Styela clava: one gene and its partners. The protein of the gene in region 1 interacts with the protein of each later gene in a biochemical or structural test. Links are inferred from orthologs where the notes say so. Each region holds a gene or a part of one and is shown in the gene's direction. Other genes may lie near its edges. The genes, in order: SWI/SNF complex subunit SMARCC2-like, SWI/SNF-related matrix-associated actin-dependent regulator of chromatin subfamily A member 2-like and SWI/SNF-related matrix-associated actin-dependent regulator of chromatin subfamily D member 1-like.

Region 1 (7,872 bases):
ACGCTGTCACAAGACAGGAACTTCTAAAGATAGGGCAGTTCCGGTATCCTTACACAGCGCGGTGACACTGAACTAACTCGTAACTGTCTCGTAAAAGCGGGGCTTGCAGTCACTGTTATATCTGATGTCTCTAAATGTTGGTGCTTTTCTTGGAATCGGTAAACGTGTCCATATATCTGAGCATAGCTTTCTTGTTTTCATACACTAGGCGCATTGGGCCATAAAACGCAACCGTTTTTAGGCGCATGATGGTTTTTGAGAGAAAAAAAGGATTCGATGTGCGCCTACTGCTCCGTAAAATATGGTAATTGTATAATCTAATCGCATGATCGATTTAAAAAAAATGGGATTAAAGTGACCTTTTACTCTGTAAAATAGGATAATTGTATTACTCAACAACAATAATCTTGACTCTTACCTTTTCTTGTGGTAAGACCCGTTGTCGTTGTTTGAACCGACTTCGACCTGAATTTAGGATGATCTACGTCACTGATTTCTTCGCCAGAAATTGCATCTAAAAAAAAAATTGGATAAGATAGGATTTTTATATTTATCTCGCGGGAGATGGCATACCACGGTCTAACGTCCGGTTACCAGTCGACTTCCCACTAGAATAGTGCTTCTCAGACGGTGGGGCGTAGACAAATTTTTTTTGAGGACGTGAAATTGATTAAAAATATGAATATTTGTTAGATTTGATTTTGTCCTCCTTATTCCAATTTTTATGTTTCTTTATCGTTTACATTTCGTCATTATTCACACATATTTTTAAATAAAACTTATTTTCACGTTACTGTCTGTTATTTGTATCTTATTGTTAGATAGTTATTTTTGAGGTGGGCTGCTAGACATGATAAATTCTAAAAAAGGGGCGCGGCTTGAAAAGTTTGAAAACCATTGCACTAGAAGTACTTGTGATACTATTCGGGATGGAAATTTCTGAGAAACACCTAAACCTTTACCCGTGTAAAATTAACCGCATCGTGATGTTTGACGTAATAAGCTATTATTTAACCTCGTTGCGCCCCAGTGGTTCAACGAATCGAAATAGTCTCACGGTCGCTTTACTACAAGACATATATAGCGTACTTCGGACGTTCAGTAAAACCGACTCCATCATCAAATGCCATTTAGGTGGCATGATATGTTGAGCTAATAAATCCTTGTGGCAGAACGCGCTTGTTGAATAACACGGAAAAGACGCTCTTGCAATAAAATCGTGAACAATATATTCTGACCATAAACTGATTAGAAACTTATCATTGTCAAATTTTCACAAACAGCAATACTGGTACTTCAATTACTTTTTGCATTTTTGATGCTCATCAATACAGTTAGTGATATGCTTTTGAATTACACGCCACGGGAGATAACCAAGTCCGAAAGATGACACTGTCAGGTCTACGACTGACAGGAGTTTGAAATACCCGTTATTGAAAAATGTGACAGAAGCAATTTTGGTTTTAGTGCGGCGATATGCTCTCTTTAATACTTGCTATAATTTCGAACAGATCTTTTGTACAAAGTCCTGTCACTAATGCAAAAATGTGAGATTTAACACCACCGCCGCGTTTTGACATGACAAATTAGTATTTAGGGTTAGATATGATATGAAATTTCCTCGTAATCTGCACTCCCAACCCTTACTAGATAATTACTAATTTTCTTATTTTGAGCGTTGGCGGGGATTTGTACTAAAGATCCCTTTTACCTCCCAAAGGGCTTCTTAACTTCACCCTCGAGCATTTTTTATATCTGAGTTAGCGCTGAGCTTATTTCTACGCAAAAATAGGATATACATGTTTATTCCGGGGGGAGAGGAAAGCCGATAGAACGGCTTAATCATATTAAAAACCACGGCGTCTCGCCCGGTTACAAGTCCATGTTGAGTAGGGGATTAGTTAGCCAGTTATTTGTTTACATATGCATAGATGAAAATAATTGTAGTTAAAAACGATCTAATCAACTCCTATTTCAATAGCGCCATTCTCCTAAAATTCATATTGCTAGCCTTTTAAAAAAATTACCGACAAAACGTGCTATTATTCTAACTTTGAAATATATGTAAAGTAATAATATAATAATAATATTAATAACAAAACGCCGGCCCGCATTATCGGTCAATTAAAAAAGAACATAGATAGAACTATCGATAAACCAAAGTATCAATACCTACCGGTTAGAATAAGAAATGAAACACAAAACAACGATATAAAAAAATTCCTTCATTTTATTGTATTGGAACTGGCTCTTTGATCTGGGTAAATCGACTAAAAATTTGCCTATATCTGTCAATTACAGCCTGTTTCTACCTATGCAATATCATTCTTTGTTCCTCAAAATAGAGCCGAGAATTTTGTTTTCTCATTTTCAAGTACCCGGGTACAATAAGGGGGAAGTACCAAGTTCTTTTCCAAGTATCACATTTCACGAACGCTTCACTTATGAAGACTGTAAATTTAAAAGTTCTGCTTTACAGGAAGCTAGTCGCATTTAAGTATATATATATAAGTATAAGTTTATTTCGACTTCATAATCAGCATAACAATAAAATGTTTGGTAAAAACAAATAAATAAACACTTGGTATTAAATTTTTGTATTAAATATCCATGTTATGACAGTTTATTTATAATAACCAAAAGTATGGCTTTAGGAAACTAAAAACGCATCTTAACCTAAACACAAGAACATACAACATAATTACATTGAGTCACTAAGTATAGCCAAACTTAATCGGACTACCGTCTAATACTCGTAACGGCACGTAACTAATGCAGTAAGGCAGATGCAGGCCGTTGTCGCTTGACGATAATCAGTGATCACAACACAAAGAACGATAATGTAATAATGACAGAATATAAACAAAGTGTAGCACACTGCAACAGGGTTAACTGAACCTAATTCTCATAACAATCCCAAAATAAACAAAGATCACGTGTATAGTAGCGACGTCATTGTTATAAAGGAGCCCAGAAATAGCATAGCCAAGGCTTCTGTTTGTCTAAATCCAGCTCTGCCACTCCCTCATCCAGGGTGTGATAAATTGGGAAGGTAGAACCAGAAAGATTCCGTTACTACCAAAATGCCAAGCAAGTACGATAATGACTTGTTTGAAGTTTATTACATTTCCTTTCAAACAACAGAAGAAACAAGAGAGCTATGCTCAAATATATGGACACGTAGCGCCACACAATGGCAATAATTTTGATGACGTCATAGCGAAAAAAAAGTAATAGCCTTCTGGAGAAAAATTTTATCTTTAACCACTGAAAATTTCAAAGCAATTGGTCCAGTATTCGAAGAGAAAAGCGATTTTTTAATGATAATGACGAAAGAAAATAACAATAACAACAAAATTTTGAAACGATCGTTATGGCCACTAAACGTGTCCAATAATCCTTTTACGACGTCGGAAATTTTTTAATACGAGCGAATATTCAGTTGTGAAGTGCGGTTACAGTAGAAGTAGTTACATAACCGTTTTCACGTTCACGTTCTGTTAGACTTTCCCAAGAGTGCCGCCGCTCGATGATCAGGATCGATTTTCGGCGTCTCCTTTCACCCTGAAATGTGATTATTTTCTATACTTCCTTCAATATCTGTATGTATAGTTCGTATATTCAGAATGGTGAAGAAATCAAATACTGATTTTCCAATTCAAATGTTTAAAATTTCTCGTCATGTATCGCGATAAAAGTCTTTTTTATGATTCACAATAGCATCAGATTCACAAAATGGCCATGCAAATGTTTTCTCCACATTGTGCTAATATCTTCTGTCATTGCACCTCTAACTGTCCTACGCGAGTTCGCCCGTTCTGATCTCACCGCTGTATAGTTATTGACTTAGCCACTCGGTAGTTATGGCTCTCTCCGCCACAATGTCTTTAAAACGATATCAAATAACTATTCATATTCCCGACATAGGGTTGTATGGGGTGAGAAACCGTGGCTAAACATTTCGTATGTTATCCACTTTAGGGTAAATATTATAGCAACTGCCATTACAAGTACTGGTTTCCGATTTTAGTCTGACATATTCAAATCTTACGGACCCATTTTCCTCGGAAATCGAATGATCGCCAAGTTGTATGATATACTCGTATATATATGTGTATGGCCAAACCTTTTATTATTATCCCCGTTAACGTATTGCTCAGTATATGTTATGAAGAAAAAGTCAATAAATGGAATCTGGGAAGTTCATTTTTGCTAATACGTTTCCATTTTAAAATTGATTTTGTTATATTCAAAAATACTTGACTCCGTCCACCACTCTGCTTTGCACGTTAGCGTCATCTCGCGGAACCCGGTATTTTCCGTTCAGTTCGAGCCTCTTTCTGTATTCTTGCGATCCTATGTTTACAGTAAACTAGATAAGATGGGATAATTTATTTTGAATTCGTAATGGCACAAGTTGATTGAAATACACAAGACAAGTATATGGAACAGAAATTCAGAAAAGTTTATCTTCAAATAATTGGCAATTACAGAATAGCAATTGAGTATAACAGTATAAGTTAGGCTTATTTCAATTCGATTTCATACCGTACCGGTACCGGTAATCTTAACATACGGCAAAATAAATGACGAAAACAAAATAAATAAAAATGAGGAATCAGGTACAAGAAGATTAGATACCGGCACAGCAGTCCCTTCCAACATTCAGACATTAGAAATATCTGATTACTGAATTAGGTTTTTATGTTTCCTGCAATCTCAATGGTATTATTTTTCTCTTTTGTTAAACAGACCGTATACTACTACTGTACTAGTAGCCTACTGGTGCAATTTCCACCGGAATGTCTTCAAAAAAGAAGGATGGATGTCCAAATACAAAATATTATGATTCTCAGGATACAATCCAGATGTTCGAACCAATTAGAAACTGGTTGAATAAATTCATGAAGAAATATTCACAAGTAAGTTTTGTGCTGTATTGTGTACCACTTGTTTGTTTGTTGTATTCTACACTTCTCGTTATTTTCTGATATAAATAAGCCACCGCACCCAGTGGCGTAGCCAGCCTTAAAATTTGAAAATTTTAGAAATTATATTGGGTTTAAGCACCCCTTCTTCAAGCGCGAAACAACAACAGTTTGTGAATAAGCAAACTGATTCAACAACTCAGATGGCTTTTTGTGAATACAAAATCCACCCCCATCAGAGAGTTGGGTTCAAACTAACCAACTGCAAAATCTGTCATCGTCAAGCCATTTTTTGAGAAATTTACGACAACTTTGTCTAGCGGTATCCAGAATCGTCACGTTTTTCGGACTATCTGAAGTTAGAAGCCTGTATCTCTCCGTATCGGTAAGCTGCGTATGTTTCTTAAGAATATATCCAAGATCGTTTGATTTCCCCTCTTTGAATATTAGTTTATCTTCGGGAATAGAAGTGATAGACGTAACTGACGTAACCGGTGCATCCACTGCCTGAGTAGCGCTTATTGATGTTTTTGAGGAAAGCGACTCTTTATTTTGCTGAAAGAAACAAATTGCATTTCACCTGTTTAAATTTAGCCATCGAAGTAATTTGGTCATCAAAATCCAAGCGTTTCGAATAAAAAACCGGCGAGAACAAATCAAGACCGAGTAACTGACCGAAAGCTAACGAAACAGTCTTTCCCAAACTGCTCATAACAGCAAATGGTCAAGTCTTTGTGACGTAACAATGACAAGCAGCAAGCGCGACGAGACAAGATTGCCACAAAACTGGTGAATTGAGAATGAAATTCTCGAGGGGCATGGCCCCTCTCCCCCCCTGTTTTCTCATCGAAACGATACCGATTAGAGAGAGATCGCTGACGTTAGTGGGTTCATTATAGTCGGCACAGATGCAATTTCAGACGATCGTAGGCTCGTAGCTATACTTTAGCAAGCTCTATGGCGCTATTATGACGTCATAGTGATGTCATTTTTGGGTGACGTACCCAAGTGGGGGTTAAGAATATTATATCATTGAAATCGTTATGCTACGCCTACTAGAAGTACTTGAGGGCGCGTACTTCAGGAGACCCCAGGAATGAGTAAAATTTTATTTTATTCACTGAATACTCACTGCTACTGGCACGTATTTCTAGTTGGCATGACTCAACAATTTTTGAATATCTCATTCCTAACTCCAACATGACTACGTCATCCAGAAGTTATGCGCAGACGATCACCCGAAATCGAGAAAGATATTTCTTTCGTTTCCTTGGTCCACTGATCCCGATATGAGAGAGATCACTGACGCTAGTGAGTTCGTTATCGCCGGCGCCGATGCCATTTCGGGTATTCATAGCTGTACTTTGTCAAGTCAAGCTCTATTGAATATGAAAAATCTTACCCTATCTACCTGCCTTGTTATTGGATTCATATGCACTGACTGTCCTGAAAAATATCACAGACTAAAAAGTCAAGCCAGATAATCTAATAGGATAAGATTTACATATTCAGAAAAGCCAATAATACAGCTTGATTCTATGACGAGCCACAGCCTCTTCTACAGTTACCTATCAGGCTATTGGATTAGTGAGCCCGTTATTTGTTTTCGAATGCATGGACTTGATGGTCGCATGAACCATCCTAAACTTTTTTTCTACTTATACAGGTTGAGTCCTTCACTAACAAATACCTTTCAAACCTATGTCTTCAATTATTGCAATTTCAAGAAGATGCTTTTGGGAAAAATGCAAAATCACCTGCATTAACAAAAATTCCAATCAAATGTTTCCAAGACCTCAAACCTGGTAAAACTGAATATGTTTGAGATTACTTGAGGGTGAAAGCCTGTTCTGTTGGTCTAAGTCAGTGGTCGGCAACCACCGGGCCGCGGCCCATTGCCGGTCCGCAGAAAGGTGACACAAAAAACGTACAATGCCCTAATAGCGTTGTTACCAGTATGTAAAGTCAGGTTTTCAAAATTGACAACTACAAAAACGAAATATTGAAGTAGGACGAACGTAAGAAACACGTTATACCTTTGTTTTTGAATGTATTGTCAACGTAACTTTTCTAGCGCATATAATTTATTAAATTACATCAGTTCGTCTGTAATTTGTATAAAGGTGGTCCGCCAAAATTTTGGTCAGATTTTACCGGTCCGTCACTGAAAAAAGGTTGCCGACCACTGGTCTTACTTGAGAGTGAAAAAAAGCCGATTCTGTTGGTCTAAGTGACCTGTGTATTTTCCGCATGTTATTTTTATAGAAAACTACGTAATTTGCAGTTTGGTAATAAGCAATATGAGTGATTTTTCAATTCTCAAACCAAATAATGTAAGGAATTTCATAGAGTGGGGGTACACAAAATGCTTTAGTGGGCCTCATGTAGCCCATCTCTGTCCTAGTTGCACCTAACCAAAGTTTCTTCTACTTGATCAATGGTATCTCGGGCATTCGTTTAAGCAAACAGTCTTCAGTATTGTGGTGTACTCTTTAGACTTGACTTTGGCAAACCACGGCCTGTGGGCCAAATCAATCTGGCCCACATCTTATGCTGCCACAACCAAACTAAAATCATATTTTGATGTTCTAGCTAAAACATAGCTCAATGAGTTTGTTGAGATTGCGATTAAATTTAGTTTTGGCACAAGGCTGATTGTTTTCATCTTATGCTTTTGTGACACTATAAATGTTGTTGTTGTAGTTCCTTTGTTCCAAAAACCTTTCCCACTCCTGCGTTATTCTCAGATGCTGCCTGGCTCCTTGATATGCCAAGGGTGTGTGAAACACGCTTAAAAATTATTATTCATATCTATTTTTAACTTCATAATTCTTCTTGATTAGGTGGAGGACTGTGCCATATTCTGGGAACAATAATGAAGTATAAGATAGACCAAGGATTGCGGCGATTCGATTTCCAAAATCCATCTCGTATGGACAGGAAC
Region 2 (8,412 bases), on another chromosome or scaffold:
AAGAAATTCTAGCCCAGAATCAAAATACATCCCCGGCAAGAACAGAAATTGATCGTTATATGGTTTCAGAAGAATTAACAACCAAAAATATTTATAAGCGCTTAAAATCAAACCAATTGGATAACCAAATTCATGATCATAATATATATGTCGCAAACAAACTACATCTTACCCAACCTATCCCATGGACAAAATTTTGGCAAATACAAATACCCAATAAGTATAAAGAACTCAGCTGGAAAATCATACATAATGGACTGCCTACCGCAGATAAACTAAAATATTGGTTCAGAGACGAATCAGGCATATGTGTATTATGCGATAATGTAGAGGAAACGTGTTTTCATCCGTTTTTTAATTGTGATTGGGCACAGAATTTTTGGGATTGGTGCAATGTAGGGCGTCTTAATCCAGACCAAATCATAGCCAACAACATTGAAAACAAATCTGTGTTGTTGACTGTGATTTGTGGCAAGTCAGCAATCTGGCAATATCGAAACTCTATAAAATATGATGGTATTTATGGGATGCAATGCAATTTGAGAGCAGTTTTTAAATGTAAGGTATTGGGGTGCATGGGTTTGATGGACAGTGGATGCAGAAATGATATTATGCAAGATCAACACATTGATGAGGTTTTAAATAAATCCATCATGCTATAATATCAAGTTTCCAATGCAACCACTGGCCATCTCATGACAATATGTAACAGATTTCATTGTAACAGATTACCGTATTTACTAATTTGTGTAAAATGATTACATAGATGGAAAATGTAGAAATCACCTATGGCATGATAGGTGTTTTTCTGATTATTTATCTAATTCTTCAAAAAAATTTTTTTTTTTAAATAAAAATGCTAATGATAGGTTAATTAATATTTATATTATATATTATAACTGATGATAATGGGAAAATAATGTCTCAACTTCATGCACAAATGGACATACTGACATATGGAATTAAATAGTAAATGTATCTGGTCTGAATTATTTAATATTTGTCTTACCTTTCATTGTATGAAATCACCTAAATTACATCACAAAAATAAAATTCGGACCTCATGCAATAATATTGAAATATATCGACACCTCAAAACCAAACAGTGCTAAGTCCACTTTTCCAAAAAATGACATTTTTCAATTGCTGATTTTCCTGGACTTAGCTCTACATTTTGGTCTATTTGCCTTATCTCTAGGTGCTCTAGATCTCAAGACAGCTATGGACATAACCCTGCTTTTTTTAGGGCATTTGAGAACTAAACAGAGCTGTGTCTACTATAGTGGACTTATCTCTGGATAACTGCATTGTAAGTTGGGGCTAAGTCCGTTTTTTGGACATAGCTCCTCTCAAAAAATATAATACAAAGCGCTAAGTCCATTTTTTGGACATAGCTCCTCTCAAAAAATATAATACAAAGCGCTAAGTCCATACCAGCCTCTATAATAACATAATAAAGGGGCCCTAAGTCCAATAAAATTGTTTTTGGTCAAGAAAATTGAGAGCCAAAAAGGGTTAAGTCCAAAAAAAACCCCCCCAAAAAAAATTGGGGCGGAGCACAAATTTTTTTATACCATCTAAATATGGCCTTCATTGTAACTTTGGTGGACCATAAAAACTAGACATCCTCGATGTAAGGTATTAGAGAAATAAAAAAAAGAAACAAAAAAAAAACGTTTTTTGCGTTTTTCTCAAAACTAGAAAAATGGACTTAGCCCAATTTGGATTTCATGCGTCGATATATTTGAATACACCAAAACTATAATTTGTATAAATCCGATTTGGCAATGGATTTGAATTTGGCAAAAAAAAAAAGTAAGTGAGGTTTTTCATTCTTGGGTATTGATTTCAGACAAGGATATAGGAATAAGATTGTTATTTCACAGGATACCGTATCGATGTCTTTGTTTGATTTTTTCCTTATGTGTTTTACTTCATTTAATCACTTTGAAGTAACCTGAAAAACAAAAAATAAAACTGCGAGTAGGCTAGACGCTAGATGTTTCAATGATTGGGTGAAGGGGAATGCGCTGAACTATTTATTACAGGCAAAAAATAATTGTTTAATTAAATGGGATGTATTGTCATTATATAGCGATGGATAGATGATCTATGATGACATTCTGCTTGGGACAGAGAAAAATTTATCACACCATGCAAAAAATACTTAATACTGTAAATAGTTTACAGCTTTCAATAGAAATAATAGCAACTTGTGACACAGTAAATTTATTTTAATTGTACACTTTGTACAATCGGCCACATGAAAAGATAGCCAAGCAATTCTGTGACCGATTCTGTCAATGTTACAGTACCATCCCCATGGACATGGTATTGCGATAATAGTCTATTGACATAAGTACTATTTATATTCGGATAATTTTGTATATTTTCTGAGAGTAATAAAATTCATGGGCAATAGGGTGGTGTAGCCAGTCTGCGGACGATTTCATTCAAACCGCTATAAAACAGAAACCAATATTTCTAACCCGTTAATTTTTTCACCGTAGGCGCATTGGCATTTATTCTACACGCTAAACCTCGAATAACCTTTCTACGACCAGGGGTTAAAGCTATACAAACCACCCAAAGTACGACACTCGGAAGACGTATTTGCGACCGAACGACCAGTGTGCGACCACGAATTTCAAGCCTTGAACATTGTTTCTGCTGCCTCGAGACTAGAGCATACGCAGCCATGCATGGAAAATTGGGCTTCTAGCCTTCTTCTAATTGCATTTCTGATCGTCATATATTTTAAGAACACTGTCCTTTCGAACAAAACTCGTCAAATTATATTCAAAACACCGCATCACAGCAATCAAACAGACAAAAACATGGTGGTCGCAAATTGGCCGACAAAGATATTATCGACGTATTGGAAATGCGCACCCCCCTATTCCCCCTCCTTTAAATGTAGAAAGGCGAAAGACGGTTAGAAGGAACACAACTCTACCCCCTTGCCAAGTTTCATCTTTTTATCTCTTATATTTGTATGGATTTTCAAGTTCTTTTGATGGGACAAGGGGTAGTTGGCGACATGAAAAAATGGTCCTGTTTTTTTCTTCGGTCGGGTTTTCGGTCGTAACTTTTTTGTTTGTGGCCGCATTTCAGTGTAATTTCGCAGAGCTATGAGGAACAAGAGGACGATAACGGGTCAGAAATATCGTCGCGATTCGTTAATTTTTTCGGCATTAATTAGATCGATGAAGTTGATGGCCGCAAATATGTCGTGGTCGCAAAGTGGGTAAGCCACTCTACAGGCAATTGAAGCAAGCCACAACAATCGAATATTCATTATGCCTTTATACAAATGCTAATATTTAAGCCTCTAGTATTTATGTGTACCATATTGTTATTCTGCTGTGTTCATGCACAGTGAAAAGCATGCAGGCGGCGTTGAATTGGGAAAGGGAATGAAATAATATATATTGCACTGGATTGTTGTGAGAAAGCATGCGAGGACTGAAAATAAAATCGAGACGGAGAATGAAGAGAAAAAAAATTTTGCAAAGCGAAAGAACATGTATGACCTAGATTTTTGCAAAGAGAGTGAGCATGTGCTGATTGTTTGTGCGATGCGCAAGTTTCTATCGATAAGTCCTCATTCAATGAAGACGTCGCAAATGTGTGACATTACGCAAAAATCCGATATTCTTATATACGTTAATTCCGATATTGGAATGACGAGATATTTGAATACTTTATTCTAATTGGCTATCCCTGACTGACATATAGCCTACTACGTTCATTATTTCTGCTTTATTTAATAATATACTCAAGCATGACGAGAAAGTCTTTGCATCAATCTAACCGTCAAAATGCATCCCATGGATCAATGCGAAGAAAGTCTACACCACGAAAAAGGGGAATACCTGGTATAAACACATCACATGAAGTTAGAAAATATCAAAAGAGCACAAAGTTACTTATAAGAAAATTGCCTTTTTCAAGACTGGTACGTGAAATCAGCATGAAATTAACTCCAAATATCATTTTTTGGCAATCTTTAGCGATAATGGCATTACAGGAAGCAGCAGAATCTCGATTGGTTGATATTTTTGAAGATGCCAATCTTCATGCAAAGAGACAAACTTTGATGGTCAAGAACTGGCGTGCTGTGGTGCGCATCAAGGGTATCTAAGTTGCATTTACTGGTCTGATCATTTGAGCCCAATCATGATCTACCAATTGCAGACTTGAAAAAATATTATTTCAGAGGAAATCAATCAAAGAAATATATCAATATCATGTCACAAATGATCAGTTAACCTCAATCTTACCTGATATTCAACATGATCTCAGGAGACTCAGGTGTTCACTGAACTTGCCGACAAGCTAGTGGATTTGTATTTTAATTAAGATAAGATTTTCAATAATAAGACTATGTGGTAACTTTGTGAACTTTTATATGTATCAAGAATGTTTTCTATTGTTTATATGTGCTTAGACAATTCCTAAAAGTTTTACAGGTATCACGGAATGACCCATGAGTTTTGTTTCATCAACATTTATGTGTTTGAATAATGTTTATTTTGAGAAATTGTATTTTTGACATAACTATGTTTTCTGTAAAATTTGTCAGTTTTATCATGAAAGCATAATTTGTCTCACAATATGATTTCCCTGTAAATAAATTGTGGTCATTCCTAATATATTTGCACCCATTTCTTTTTACCTGTGGCTGTATAATGTTTTTTCATCATATATATTTGCACCCTCATTTCTTTTTACCTGTATAATGTTTTTTCCTCGTATATATTTGCACCCTCATTTCTTTTTACCTGTATAATGTTTTTTCATCTGTTTTTTTTATCACTATGTAAAATCAGTTTGTTGTTTGAATTTGCCAACTGTAAAATATGTTTTATCAGGGCTTTTACTGTCACCTAAAATTTCTCAAATGTTTTTATTATAGGAATTTTTTATACAAAATAATATTTCTATATTTCCTCCAACCTAATGACCCCTGGTGTTCCTGGGTCATTTTGACACCCTTCTATAATTTTTTTAATATTTCACCAACCAAAAATGCCAAAGACATCTTTAATGTGTCCCTAAAAAGCTTATTTTCGTCGCTTTCCACTAAAACGCGCCCACATTACGTAGCGTAAATGCGTCCGACCATATGCCAGTAAGAAGAGAGAAATTTCAAAAAATTTCGAGAAAAAGTTTCTCACTTTTAACGCTGTGGTCGACACGTGATTGATATGCGAGAGAAAGAGTTCTCTTTTAGAAGAGCTATACGTCACTTTCAAGATAAAACAAGACTGGGATTTGTAAGTGAAGTGATATTCGTTTTATCGAAGAGCATTTGATCGCGTGCTGTCTGGTATCTTTGTTTGTTTATTATGAGCCGAAGAACGTTGCTCGCGCGTTCAAAATACTTCGTTTTCAACTAACCATAGATTATTTGGTTATTTTTAAGCTTTGAAATACTCATACAAATAAAATTGACCTTGTTGCAAAATAAAAATTATACATAAAAAAAATATGATGACATCACCGTAATTAAGAACACTCGGATCAAGCATGGGTATTTAAACTCAAACATTTTGAGTTTTGAAATTGGTTTTGTTCACATGCAGACCACTATGAAATACTATTGACCCCCCAAAATAAATTTAATTTAGTCATAAACCCAAATTATGACACAGATCAGCCATTTATGACCGGGCCGAAACCCTAGGGTTAAAACAGCAATATTCTTTCCCGGGGAAAGGAATTTCTCTATGGTCTCATGGTTGGTAAAGCACTGACCTAACCCTCAGACTGTCAGATATACCAAGTCCATAGGGTTCTTTGTTTATTGTGTTCTATGTTGAACTTGCTCTATTTTGGAACATATTTTCTCTTTCACATTTAAAGTATACAGTTTTGGCCTTTTCTGTTTCAGTACAGTCAGTAGGGCACAGTTCTGTGCTTCCGAGATGTCTTGACATTTGGTGCAATAATACAAACACTGTATTTGTCTCGGAAACAGTAACTTATTAGGTATTCAGTCTATCTAGTATTTGTTCAGTTCTAGTATTTGTTCAGTTGTGTGATTATGCAAATTTCCTTTCTTTGTTTTTCAGGTTTTAGCTTAGCCTTTACTAGCAGACAAGATCTACTTGATTATTAAAGGTCATGGAACAACAATCACTTGGGGGAATTGGCCCAGGTGCACCTCCACCTGTAGGACAGATGCCGCAGCCGCCCCAACAACAGCAGCAACAAATGCCGACCCAACAAGTCCCGATGCAGGGTCAACCAATGCAGCAGAATCCACAGATCCAACCTCCGAACTATTCTTATCCAGCTCAAGGTTGGTAAACAGATTTCTACTATTTGGATATTCAGAAAGATGAAATTTCAATTGAATATGAATTAAGATGAATATTGGAAATGCCCCTTTTGCAGGTACCTGTATTTCCATATCTCTTCTAAAAGGTCATGGCTGCAATATTCTGCAGTTAGTGGGGTAACAGAATGAAACAAAAAACATAACAAAGCTATGTTTGTCTCTGAATTTAATATACATGGACTTTTCGAATCTAAAAAGATTTGTGACTGGTTAGAATTCCAAATATTGTAATATATCATGCACACGGTAAATGACTTCTATTATTTTATGATTTAACAGGGGGCTATGGTTCTGCACCCAGTACCGCTCCGCCTGGTCAAACTATTCACCCAACACAACAACCCCAATCACAGTATAACCCACAGATGGGACAACAGCAACATCACCCAGGCATGGGTATGTAGTGCTAGAATTATTTTTATAATGCTGAATAATTTTCATTTAAATTGATATAAAAAGTACTGACCGTTGCCGCTTACCATAGTTTATCATAATATATACCAAGGATGGTGAACCATTGACCCACCAAGTTACGAATTGATGCAAAAAAATATACCAACATTTCATTTATAAAAATTGATATTAAAACCAGCCTTGATTCAATCCAACAATAAGTGAACAACCATAGTATACTGTGATGCAGCTACTGGTGACATGCAGCGACAACGCTTAGGACATAACAATGAGATGCAGGGATGGTTATATGGCCCCAGTCCCTATTTGAAGCAAAAGTAAAGAGAAAACAAGGCGATACAAAAAATTCTGAGAATAGAGTATTCTTCAGCACACAATGCCGTTGGGAAACAAAATAATATTCAAGCAGGATGATAGTGACTTTAATTTGCTAGAAGCCGATGAAAATATAATCCTCTCAAAGTGAAAATTTCTTCTAAACTCTTTCGAAACCATGAAAAAGATTTGACATAGAATTGCAAATGCTTTTTGGTAATTCATATGCATGCGAACACAATACCACAATATAACACTTGTGGAAAAGACATAACAGCGAGCTTTTCATTGATGCAAACCTTTTTAGATATCTATGACCTATAGTCTTCTTTTCCACAATAAAATATAAATTTTGACCCATTCACTAAAAAAGGTTCGCCATTCCTGATATATACAATCAAGGCTTTCCCTACATGAAATTAATGTGACAATTCATATCTCATAATAACACACACCAAAACCACTTTTTAGTCAATGCTAATAGTTTTCTTACACTTAACTTAAAGCCCATATTCCACTTGTAAAAAAGAAGCTATAAGTAGCAACAAAATTGCACAGAAAGAACATTTTACAATTTCGTGCAACACTGAAAATGAAAATGCCCATATTCAATTAGTATGTACCGGTATTTAAAAATTGTGCTCAGAACTAAAATTTTGATTGCACTAAAGTATATCAATTTGCAACAAAGTATTGATTAATATTGTGCACTGCTTTCTGTATTTAATGTTAATCATGTATTTGATACAAGAAGGTGAATTGTTCTCGGAAAAATAGTTTAAATTTTGTTCATATGATTCTTAAAATGCAAGTCTAGTAAAGTTAATTTTGGTTCTTCTTTTCTTTAAGATTGTTAACACAAATCCTTTTGTTGGATTTATTGATTCAATGAGTTCAACAAAATAATAATGAACTTACAAATCCTTTTGTTGGATTTATTGATTCAATGAGTTCAACAAAATAATAATGAACTTACAAATCCTTTTGTTGGATTTATTGATTCAATGAGTTCAACAAAATAATAATGAACTTACAAATCCTTTTGTTGGATTTAGTGATTCAATGAGTTCAACAAAATAATAATGAACTTACTATTTTATTTTATTTGCTTCAGCTGAGATGCAACTCAATAATAGCATATTTTCCTGTACTTAACTGTTAACACTAGAAATATTCTAAAGAAAACCATCAGCAAACTTTTATAGATAGCAATTTCATGATTGATTGTTCGCTATCAGTACTATTAACCAATGCTGATGTATTGGTTGGGCCCAAAAACACTTGTGAATCCTTTCATAACTGTTACTTTTATATAATACAGGGATGCAGCAACCTCA
Region 3 (8,431 bases), on another chromosome or scaffold:
GCAACTGGTGAACAGATAGAGTGTAAAGATGTGGGGTAAGATTATGCACAGAAGGATTCATGATCTCCAAAATTGGTGAGATAATTTGCTATAATTCTGCTTCCAATTTATCAAATTGAACTATTGCAATCAATACACTGAATGGCTTGATTTGGTAAACAACAAGACACATTGGTATTCAGGAGACTTCAGAACTTGATTCATTTTAATCCCTTGAGGTGTAATAATAATATTAAATTTCAAAGACCTTCATGTAATTTTTCAATCAGTAAATGTAACGATAGATTGAAAAGTTTCATCAAGCCACAAAGATTTAATTGTCCAGCTTCATAGAGACTCGTTCCCACACTCTGGAAAAAAAATAACAATATGAATATAATGCAAGATTTCGATAATCATGTAAAAATAATTCAATATTCCAGTATATAACATAGTGAATATATAGTGATAGATTCGAATTTAACACTGGAAGAAATGACTTGTTTTTTACACAATGTCTATCGTCTATTCATGTCTTTCGTTCCAGCAATTGTTTCAAAATTTCGAGTAGGGTGCAGTGATTATGCAACAAAACACATACGGTATATGAACTTGACATACAATTACCTTATAAACTTTGTTGGTACATTGCTGCAGCAATATTGCAGGCACTTTAGGAGCAAGTTCTGCCGCATTCAATCCTTTAGTGTCCCCATTCATATTTAATATTGATTGCACAATTTCTCTCTAAATATTAACACGAATATCAAACCGTATAAAAAAAACGAGAAACTCTTTGTTATACTTTTTACAACCTGGAAAGGCATATTTAGTTAAAACAACCAAAAAAAAACATATAAAACACATTTAATTTGACTACAAATTAGAAAATAGAAGTAAAAATATGGTTGTCAATAAAATGGAAAGATAGCTACCTCATCATGTGTATTCTCAACAGCCGTTAACAAATTCTTCCATAATTTTCTCACAGTTGCTTCAGAATTGTTAGTTCTTGAAAGTAAAAATTTTTCTGGTGTTTGAGGTACGGAATGACTTCTGGAGGGAGTTCCTTTCGCAGAAAGTCTGGAAAAATTAAAAGATGAGACTTCAACACTGAGAAAATAAGTTCAAAACTGACGATTTTGAATGAGCAGAGAATCTAACAAAAGGAAATATGAGAAAACGGCGTAATCAAACACCTATCCGCCAAACAAGGCTCTATACAACCAGCCACCAAAACGTAAGGAGCTACTTTATTTTCGAAGAACTGGAATCACTAAAACCATGGGTGAGGTGGTGGAATTTGAACCAGAGTTTATAAAATATAATGCCATCCCAGTTATGTCTAAAACTTAAATCATTAGGCCACTGCACATATCCTAAGGATGCACCTGGACGACTGTGCTATCTTCTGCCGAATAATGAATACATCCGAAATATTGGGAAAATTACCTCTTATACGAGGTTATTTAACTAAAATGATCCAAGTTATAATCAAATTTAAAAAGAAAAATCAACCTTTCTGCTGGTATATGCAATTTGCTAAGTAATTCTTTTTTCTTTTGCTCTAAATGTTTCTTCAATTTAACATTATCTCTGTATTCATCAAGCATGGAACTGTAACCAGAAAAATATATGTTAGTAAATAATAGTTAATCAAATATCTTGTTGGGTTTGGTCACGATGTGCATATGATGACAAGTTGGAAATCTGAGGTTGCATTGCAATTCACTATTATGGAGAAAAAGTGGGCTGAACTTTTAAGAAAACAGAAAATGTGTTACATGGTTCATTGGTTCTCAAACTTTCATGATTTTTCAAGACTCAACATTGTGGGAGACTTCTATAAAAATACATAGTTTTGCTTTTAATATGGTTACATCAGATATTTTATGTGCCATGTTTAAACTAATCTTTTTGAGTATATCATTTTCAGATAAGATGCTCAATCATTAATCCAATGTCATGTAAGAATTACCTTGCAAGTTTATTTGCCTCCAAATCAGATTGTTTTGAAATTTGCATAGTGTGCATCATCTTTACACTTTCACTATGAGCAGCGTTTTTCAAAGCAATCACTCGAGCGAGATTCAATCCTTCAATTGTTTGTTTCATATCTGGAGGTAAAATTGTGCTTTCTTGCCCTTTTCCTATAAAATATAGGGATAATATTCAGAAGCCCCCAATACAGAGAAAACGTGATAACATAAACTTGTCCAGTGTTCTCTAGAGATGGGACGAGTCCGGCATTACAAAGATTCGATGAATCCGAGTAATAGGTCAAGACTCGAATCCTCCGAGTCCGTGACGTCACAATATAGAAGCAGAAAAACACGTTTTTGGCCATGCTACAGCACCGTGCGCTCACAAACACGCGTCATAGCTCATATTTTTTGCATAATGGTTCCGCAGATAGCTGTTGAATCATTTTTAAAATATATTATTCCTCTTTTTTGGCGGCCATGATACAAACGTAAACGTGGGTCAATGTGCGCGTTGGCTGTGAACTGGATTTCCAGCCAACCACTTCGCGTCAATTCTGGGCGGCTATTCAGAAATTCTCACATGGCAATATGAAAAATGAAAAGCTTTTGACTACAATACTTTTCCATAGTTACAGATATTTCTAGCCGTAAATTTACTATGTCACGTGCGCAAATGGTAGAGAAATGCCACTCTTAGTCAATGCAATGTTGTAAATCTGCTTGTAACTCAATTGTTCCTGTAAACGTTCTAAAACTCTCCATGCTTTCCATTGCTCCCTTTTTAGAGAAAAGATTACACGTAATAAACTGCAAGTAATAAACTCTATTTAAAAGAGGAATTGATGAGATTTCCCATTGGGTTGATCCAAAGCATGTTTCATTTTTACGCGAATCAAAAACTCCAAACTTTTACGCTAACACATAATTTTTGCAAACCACAGGTCCACATATATACCAAAAAGAATTGATAGTTTGAAGGCGACTGGCGCAACATCATTGTTATAACATAAGCGATCAATAGTTTTTACCTTGTGTTATATAATCTGGATATCTGTCGTCATCTTTATTAGAAGTGGCAAAAGTACAAATATAGGCATAAATTAGTAAAAACAGAATTGATTATAGACTTGGTAAAAAAATGCCTGGATTCGACTCGAATCAGAGTCCGGATCCGAATCCTGGCCCATCCCTAGTGCTCTGTGAACTGGAATTGGGTATTGGAATTAAATAGGTATTACTTATTAAATTTAGATAATACAGGTATGTAGTATTTACATTAGTTTTGTAGGTATATTATTTAGAAGAACATACTTGGTCTAATCAAGAAATTAGAGCAAACAGTGTGAAATAAGTGTCATATCAAAATACCCGAGAAGCAGGACTATTACTGATTCCTTAGATTAACTTGTTACATACCCACAAAACATACCATTGACAGAACGATCAAGTCTCCTTGATTCCATGAAAAGGACGAAGTTGGAAAAATAAAATAAAATTTTATAAACTTCAGCACCGGTCGGGCTCATAAGTAACGTGTTGGTAACTCGTGGAAAATTGAACCTTGGGTGTTCCTGTAAATAAAGGATAAAATAGAAATAATGAATGAAAATGAAATTTTTTACAAAATTCCATGGAAATATGTAAGATATATAGGTGACATAAGACGATCAGCTTTATGAGTTTCAGTCACCTTGGAAATTGCACAAAAATAACAATAAAATTACTTATACATATGGATTTATAGTTATTTGGGCTTAAATAAAGTTAAGTCTGCACGACTAATAATTGCAGTGTATTATTTTTAAACAACACCCCAGGGTGACTGAAAATCAAACTCATAACTCAAATTGCCTATCTCCAGATCTCATGGTACAAAAAGTCTTCAAACACGTTTTACCAACCTCCGATAATCTTTTCCACCAGTTCAGACAAACTGTTCGAAATTGCTGACATGCTTTTTTATCTGATACAGGGTAACATAGTCTAAAACAAAAACTCTAAATATTACAAAGTCTATAATGCATCGCAACGAAACAACAATACCATGATGATATACACCAGACATAGCAAAAAATACAAAAAATTTAGCAAAGATCTACCTGAAAAGTTCAGTTGACTTCGCTTTGTCAAGTTTTGTAAACAAAAAATGACAAATAATTTCAAATCCAGCTTTGTTAGGTTTATCAAACATTCCACAATGAAATGTCATTCTAAAAATAAAGTTTAGGTTCTATAATTTCAGGATATATATCTTCAATAATGCTGCATTATAATTACCGTACGAGACTCTAATTTCTGGTTTGCCGATAGGCAGCATAGACTATCGATACCGTACTTTGCCATCACAAATTTATGAATTTGCAGTTACCAGGTTAATAAATTGTAAAATAGTTGTTGTATAACAATATAACTACCGTACTCAGACATTTCAGTGCTTTATTTTCAAATCCTAATTTCTAAATATGACTCCGAAAAGCGTATAAATAAATTGGAACACTCACTTGTACTTTTCAGCCATTGAGGTGCAAGGAAATTTTAAAATAATCAGGTTTTGAAACCATAATTTCTGCTTTTCCCTTACCACACGAAGATTCAACGATTTTGATTCTTTTTTCTGTCTTCCCTTGTGAAACGACATTTCAGTACACGATTCTGCACAGTAACACCAAAATCCCAATGATATAAACAAAAACCCAGAGTCCCGAAAACCGAAATGAAAGTTAAAACTCAACAGCGCAACCAGACAACAGCATTCACTTCAGTGTTTTGAACTCGGGAACTGTACAAACGAAATGATTTTAAACGTTCCCGCTAGCGGTCCGTCAATACAGACCCTCTATAGTGGTGGTAGCATAAAAGTCATATTGGGGATGGCAAAATACGGTCGAAAGGTAGCAGATTGGGGATGGCGAACGTTTGTTCGTATATTAAACAGTATATATTTACGATTAAACCTCTTATCACCTTTTGCGCAATGCCCAATCTAGCAATCAGTATAGTTTTTCGGGGCTTGATTTTTCTTAAAGCTTTCATGGCTTCATGAGTATGACTATCGTCGTAAATTTATTACATTCCACTCCTCACCTTATCTTTGCATGAGGTTGTAGGTATTGGTCATTATCAACGTAATTGTTGAACGTACAACAGCCCGAAAGTTTAATACTATCGTGTATTTCGTTTGTCAAGTTTGGCGCAAGTCTCATTTAATTGGGCTTGTGTTTTTGTGTGCGTGCTGGTGGGCAGGCACGTGAGATACGGTACTTCTCATGTTTTAAACTTTTTTATAGGTTTTGCTTGCCCTCAAGAATTCCTCATTTTTAATTTATGTTTGTTATGGAGTTTTCGAAATAAACTATCTATCTATATATCTTAACCACTCCACCTTCAATTAGAAAAAAAAAATTGATGGGAACACGGCAACTTGGTTTTCTTCCATTTCCGTTTCTTTCCTCAGCTTTACGCTGTTATAGTGTTACCGATCCTTGTTGCTTGCTCACTTAGTTATATTTTCGTGTTAGGTTGGGCAGTGTGCAGGTGCTTTGTGAACTGAAGAAGCGGTTCTCTGCCGCAAACTCGACGATGAACCAACATGGAAGTGTTCGAAGCCCTTACCAACCTCAAGGTCCCTTCATGAGGTCGAGACCAGGCGGCTCTTCATCTCCTTACCCGGCACCTGGACATCAACATGCCAGTGGGCCCATGCGTGCTGAACATTTGAGGAAACGTCCTGGTGTTCATGCAGGAAGTCCAGCAAGCACACCTGGTGCTCCAGACAGGTGAATAATGTTTAGGTCATTTCAGACAGTCAGACATGATTTTGGTTGTCTGGCTGGTCATTTCAGACATGATTGGGTTGTCTGATGTGATTTTTTCTTTGGAATTTACTTATCGTATTTACAGTACGGTACGGCACACTCTTCAAATTCCAAGAATGTCCTTCATTTGGTTCAATACAACAAACACTTTGCGTGTTTCACAAACGAGGGTCGTCTGGCACAACGGCAGATGCGTCATATCGCGACATGCTTGTCTCGATAATAATCTAAATTAATTGCAGCCGTCATGTGACCAAAATTGCTGTTTTTTGTTCAAAACTCTCTTATGCCATGGTAGAAAATTTTTACCTTCCGTAAATCTAATTATTTTTTCTCAAGGAATCCAATGATGACATTTTTAGATTGCGCTTTGTACTTTTTTGCGCAACTTCAATTTATTGTAGTTTTATCGGTCTTGAGGGATCATGTCCAGACATTCCCCCAAAGGAGGGGCGTCTAATCATCTGCAATATGGATTTCTCTGAAACGAGACAATGTCGGTCGATCTGTATAGTGTGCCGTACTGATTTAACAATGTTCGTTTTATGTTTCAGATCTCGACAACCTCCTGTTGTGAAACGCCGACTTCTTTCAGACAAGATATTACCTGATGCTGTTCGAAAGTTAGTTCCTGATTCTCAGGTATTTCATGAAATACAGAAATATTAAAAGCCTTGTATTCATATCGATGAAATTCCTCTTTTATTACTTAATTGCTTTGATGAAAAATAATTTCTAATTCATTATTTCTCAAGTATATCAACATCAACATATTATTTCAATATTTTATCAAACTTTCAATTTTCAGGCATATATGGATCTTCTGGCTTTCGAACGCAAGCTTGACCAAACAATTACAAGAAAAAGACTCGATATTCAAGAAGCACTCAAACGTCCAGTCAAAGTCAAAAGAAAATTGAGAGTTTTTATCTCAAATCAGTTCTATCCACCTAAAGAAGTGGATGGAAAAGATGATGCAGGAAAGGTATGAAATTGATTGCAATGATTGTATTGTGCTTCTTATAATTGTATAATTATCATTTTTTCATCTAGGCCTCATGGGAACTGAGAGTAGAGGGTAGGCTGTTAGATGATCCACTTGCAAAGCAACATGAAGCTTCCAAACACAAGCGTAAATTCTCATCTTTTTTTAAAAGTCTCGTCATTGAGCTAGACAAAGATTTATATGGACCAGATAATCATTTGGTAGAATGGCATCGCACTAATGCAACACAAGAAACAGATGGATTTCAGGTATAGGTTATCATTAGGTATATGAACAAATCATTATATCAAAAGTGAGGATGTGGTTGAGTGATTGATTCATTAGGCATAATTGAGATGGCATCGCATTTTCAAATATGTCCAAGAATTTTCATAACCACTCCAGAGTATCAAAATTTGTTAATATTTCAAAAGTTACTCAGACTGTCTTGAATTTAATGGTATAAAAATATATCAAAATTGAAAGATGGCAGATTTTGAAAATTGTGGTATTAACTAGTATCCCTGTCGAATTACATGCTTATAAAAGTGTAGTTTCGTTTTAATAAACCATGGTATGCACTGTTAATGATGTGTGCTGTCACTTACAATATTGCTTTGTTATCAGGTCAAAAGGCCTGGGGATAAAAATGTTCGTTGTACAATGCTATTTATGCTCAACTACTTGCCACCACAATACAAATTAGATGGAAGATTAGCTAGATTGCTTGGGATCCATACACAGACACGACCTGTTATAATTCAGGCTTTGTGGCAATATATCAAGTCTCATAAACTGCAGGTATTCTATGATTTTATTTACCATTTTTTATCAAGCTGATGGAGCAATATGGCCATTTCAGTGAATGACTTTGTATTACTTTTTTAAGACTTTAGTCCGCATTTCATCATGAAATTTATCTGCCACAGGAGAATGTTTGAATTTAATGCTACTATATAGGATTAATTAGGACATCACAATTTCTAAATAATAATCTTTTTTATATTTAATTTAGGATGAGCATGAGAGAGAATTCATCAATTGTGATGGATATCTTGGACCTATATTAGGAGAACGTCGTATTCGTTTTGCTGACATTCCACGGCTACTTGGACCGTTACTTCATCCACCAGACCCAATCGTTATTCATCATGTTATTAGTGTTGATCCAGCAGATGCAAAGAAACAGTCTTGCTATGATATTGAGGTAATTTTATGATAAACATTTTAATAAGTTTTATGCAATATATATTTTTGGATTATAGTTATCAAGTCTGTATTTATTCATAGAAAAAAGTACCAAAAACTGTTTTACTGCGTATATTTCTTAACCCTTTTTTTCCGCTGTATACAATCGACTTTATGTACCATTTTATAATATGTAATGACCAGTTAACCAAACGTACAAGGAACACCCCCAATATCTCTTTAAAAAGCTTATTTTCGCGTCTTCCTACTAAAACGCGCCCAAGTGACGTAGGCGAAACCGTTCGACCCTACGCGTGTAAGAAGAGAGAAATTTCAAAAATTTTTGAGAGAACGTTTCACACTCTTATCGCTTCGATGAACACGTGTTACAAAGAAACGAAATTCCAAGCGCTCTTCTGAAAGAGAGTTACGTCACCTTTGAAGAAAAACCGGACTCAGCTTCGCAAGCGAAGCGAAAC

Evidence for each region.
Region 2: the proteins of SWI/SNF complex subunit SMARCC2-like (region 1) and SWI/SNF-related matrix-associated actin-dependent regulator of chromatin subfamily A member 2-like form a complex in vitro, tested with the Drosophila melanogaster proteins (2 studies listed by BioGRID, with this or other methods). The link is inferred for Styela clava from reciprocal best matches to the Drosophila melanogaster genes mor and brm.
Region 3: the proteins of SWI/SNF complex subunit SMARCC2-like (region 1) and SWI/SNF-related matrix-associated actin-dependent regulator of chromatin subfamily D member 1-like form a complex in vitro, tested with the Drosophila melanogaster proteins (2 studies listed by BioGRID, with this or other methods). The link is inferred for Styela clava from reciprocal best matches to the Drosophila melanogaster genes mor and Bap60.

What each region holds. Positions count from the first base shown.
Region 1 is NC_135263.1:4,352,359-4,360,230, forward strand, and holds the start of SWI/SNF complex subunit SMARCC2-like, read left to right. Parts: upstream 1-4,755; 5' UTR 4,756-4,802; coding exon 4,803-4,922; intron 4,923-6,594; coding exon 6,595-6,733; intron 6,734-7,771; coding exon 7,772-7,872. Other genes in the region: uncharacterized protein LOC120340372, read right to left, coding at 419-514, 1,090-1,141.
Region 2 is NC_135250.1:17,719,933-17,728,344, reverse strand, and holds the start of SWI/SNF-related matrix-associated actin-dependent regulator of chromatin subfamily A member 2-like, read left to right. Parts: upstream 1-5,282; 5' UTR 5,283-5,994; exon of another isoform or gene 5,995-6,077; 5' UTR 6,078-6,129; coding exon 6,130-6,307; intron 6,308-6,625; coding exon 6,626-6,742; intron 6,743-8,396; coding exon 8,397-8,412. UniProt on the Drosophila melanogaster protein: Transcriptional regulator. Acts as a coactivator, assisting one or more dedicated transcriptional activators of ANTC and BXC homeotic gene clusters. Can counteract the repressive effect of Polycomb protein.
Region 3 is NC_135250.1:7,867,431-7,875,861, forward strand, and holds the start of SWI/SNF-related matrix-associated actin-dependent regulator of chromatin subfamily D member 1-like, read left to right. Parts: upstream 1-5,242; 5' UTR 5,243-5,543; coding exon 5,544-5,740; intron 5,741-6,333; coding exon 6,334-6,421; intron 6,422-6,587; coding exon 6,588-6,764; intron 6,765-6,832; coding exon 6,833-7,033; intron 7,034-7,391; coding exon 7,392-7,565; intron 7,566-7,779; coding exon 7,780-7,971; intron 7,972-8,431. Other genes in the region: uncharacterized protein LOC120338837, read right to left, coding at 248-350, 607-726, 915-1,062, 1,498-1,596, 1,958-2,129, 3,394-3,535, 3,866-3,947, 4,064-4,174 and 1 more. UniProt on the Drosophila melanogaster protein: Involved in the recruitment and site-specific anchoring of the Brahma complex at specific promoter sites.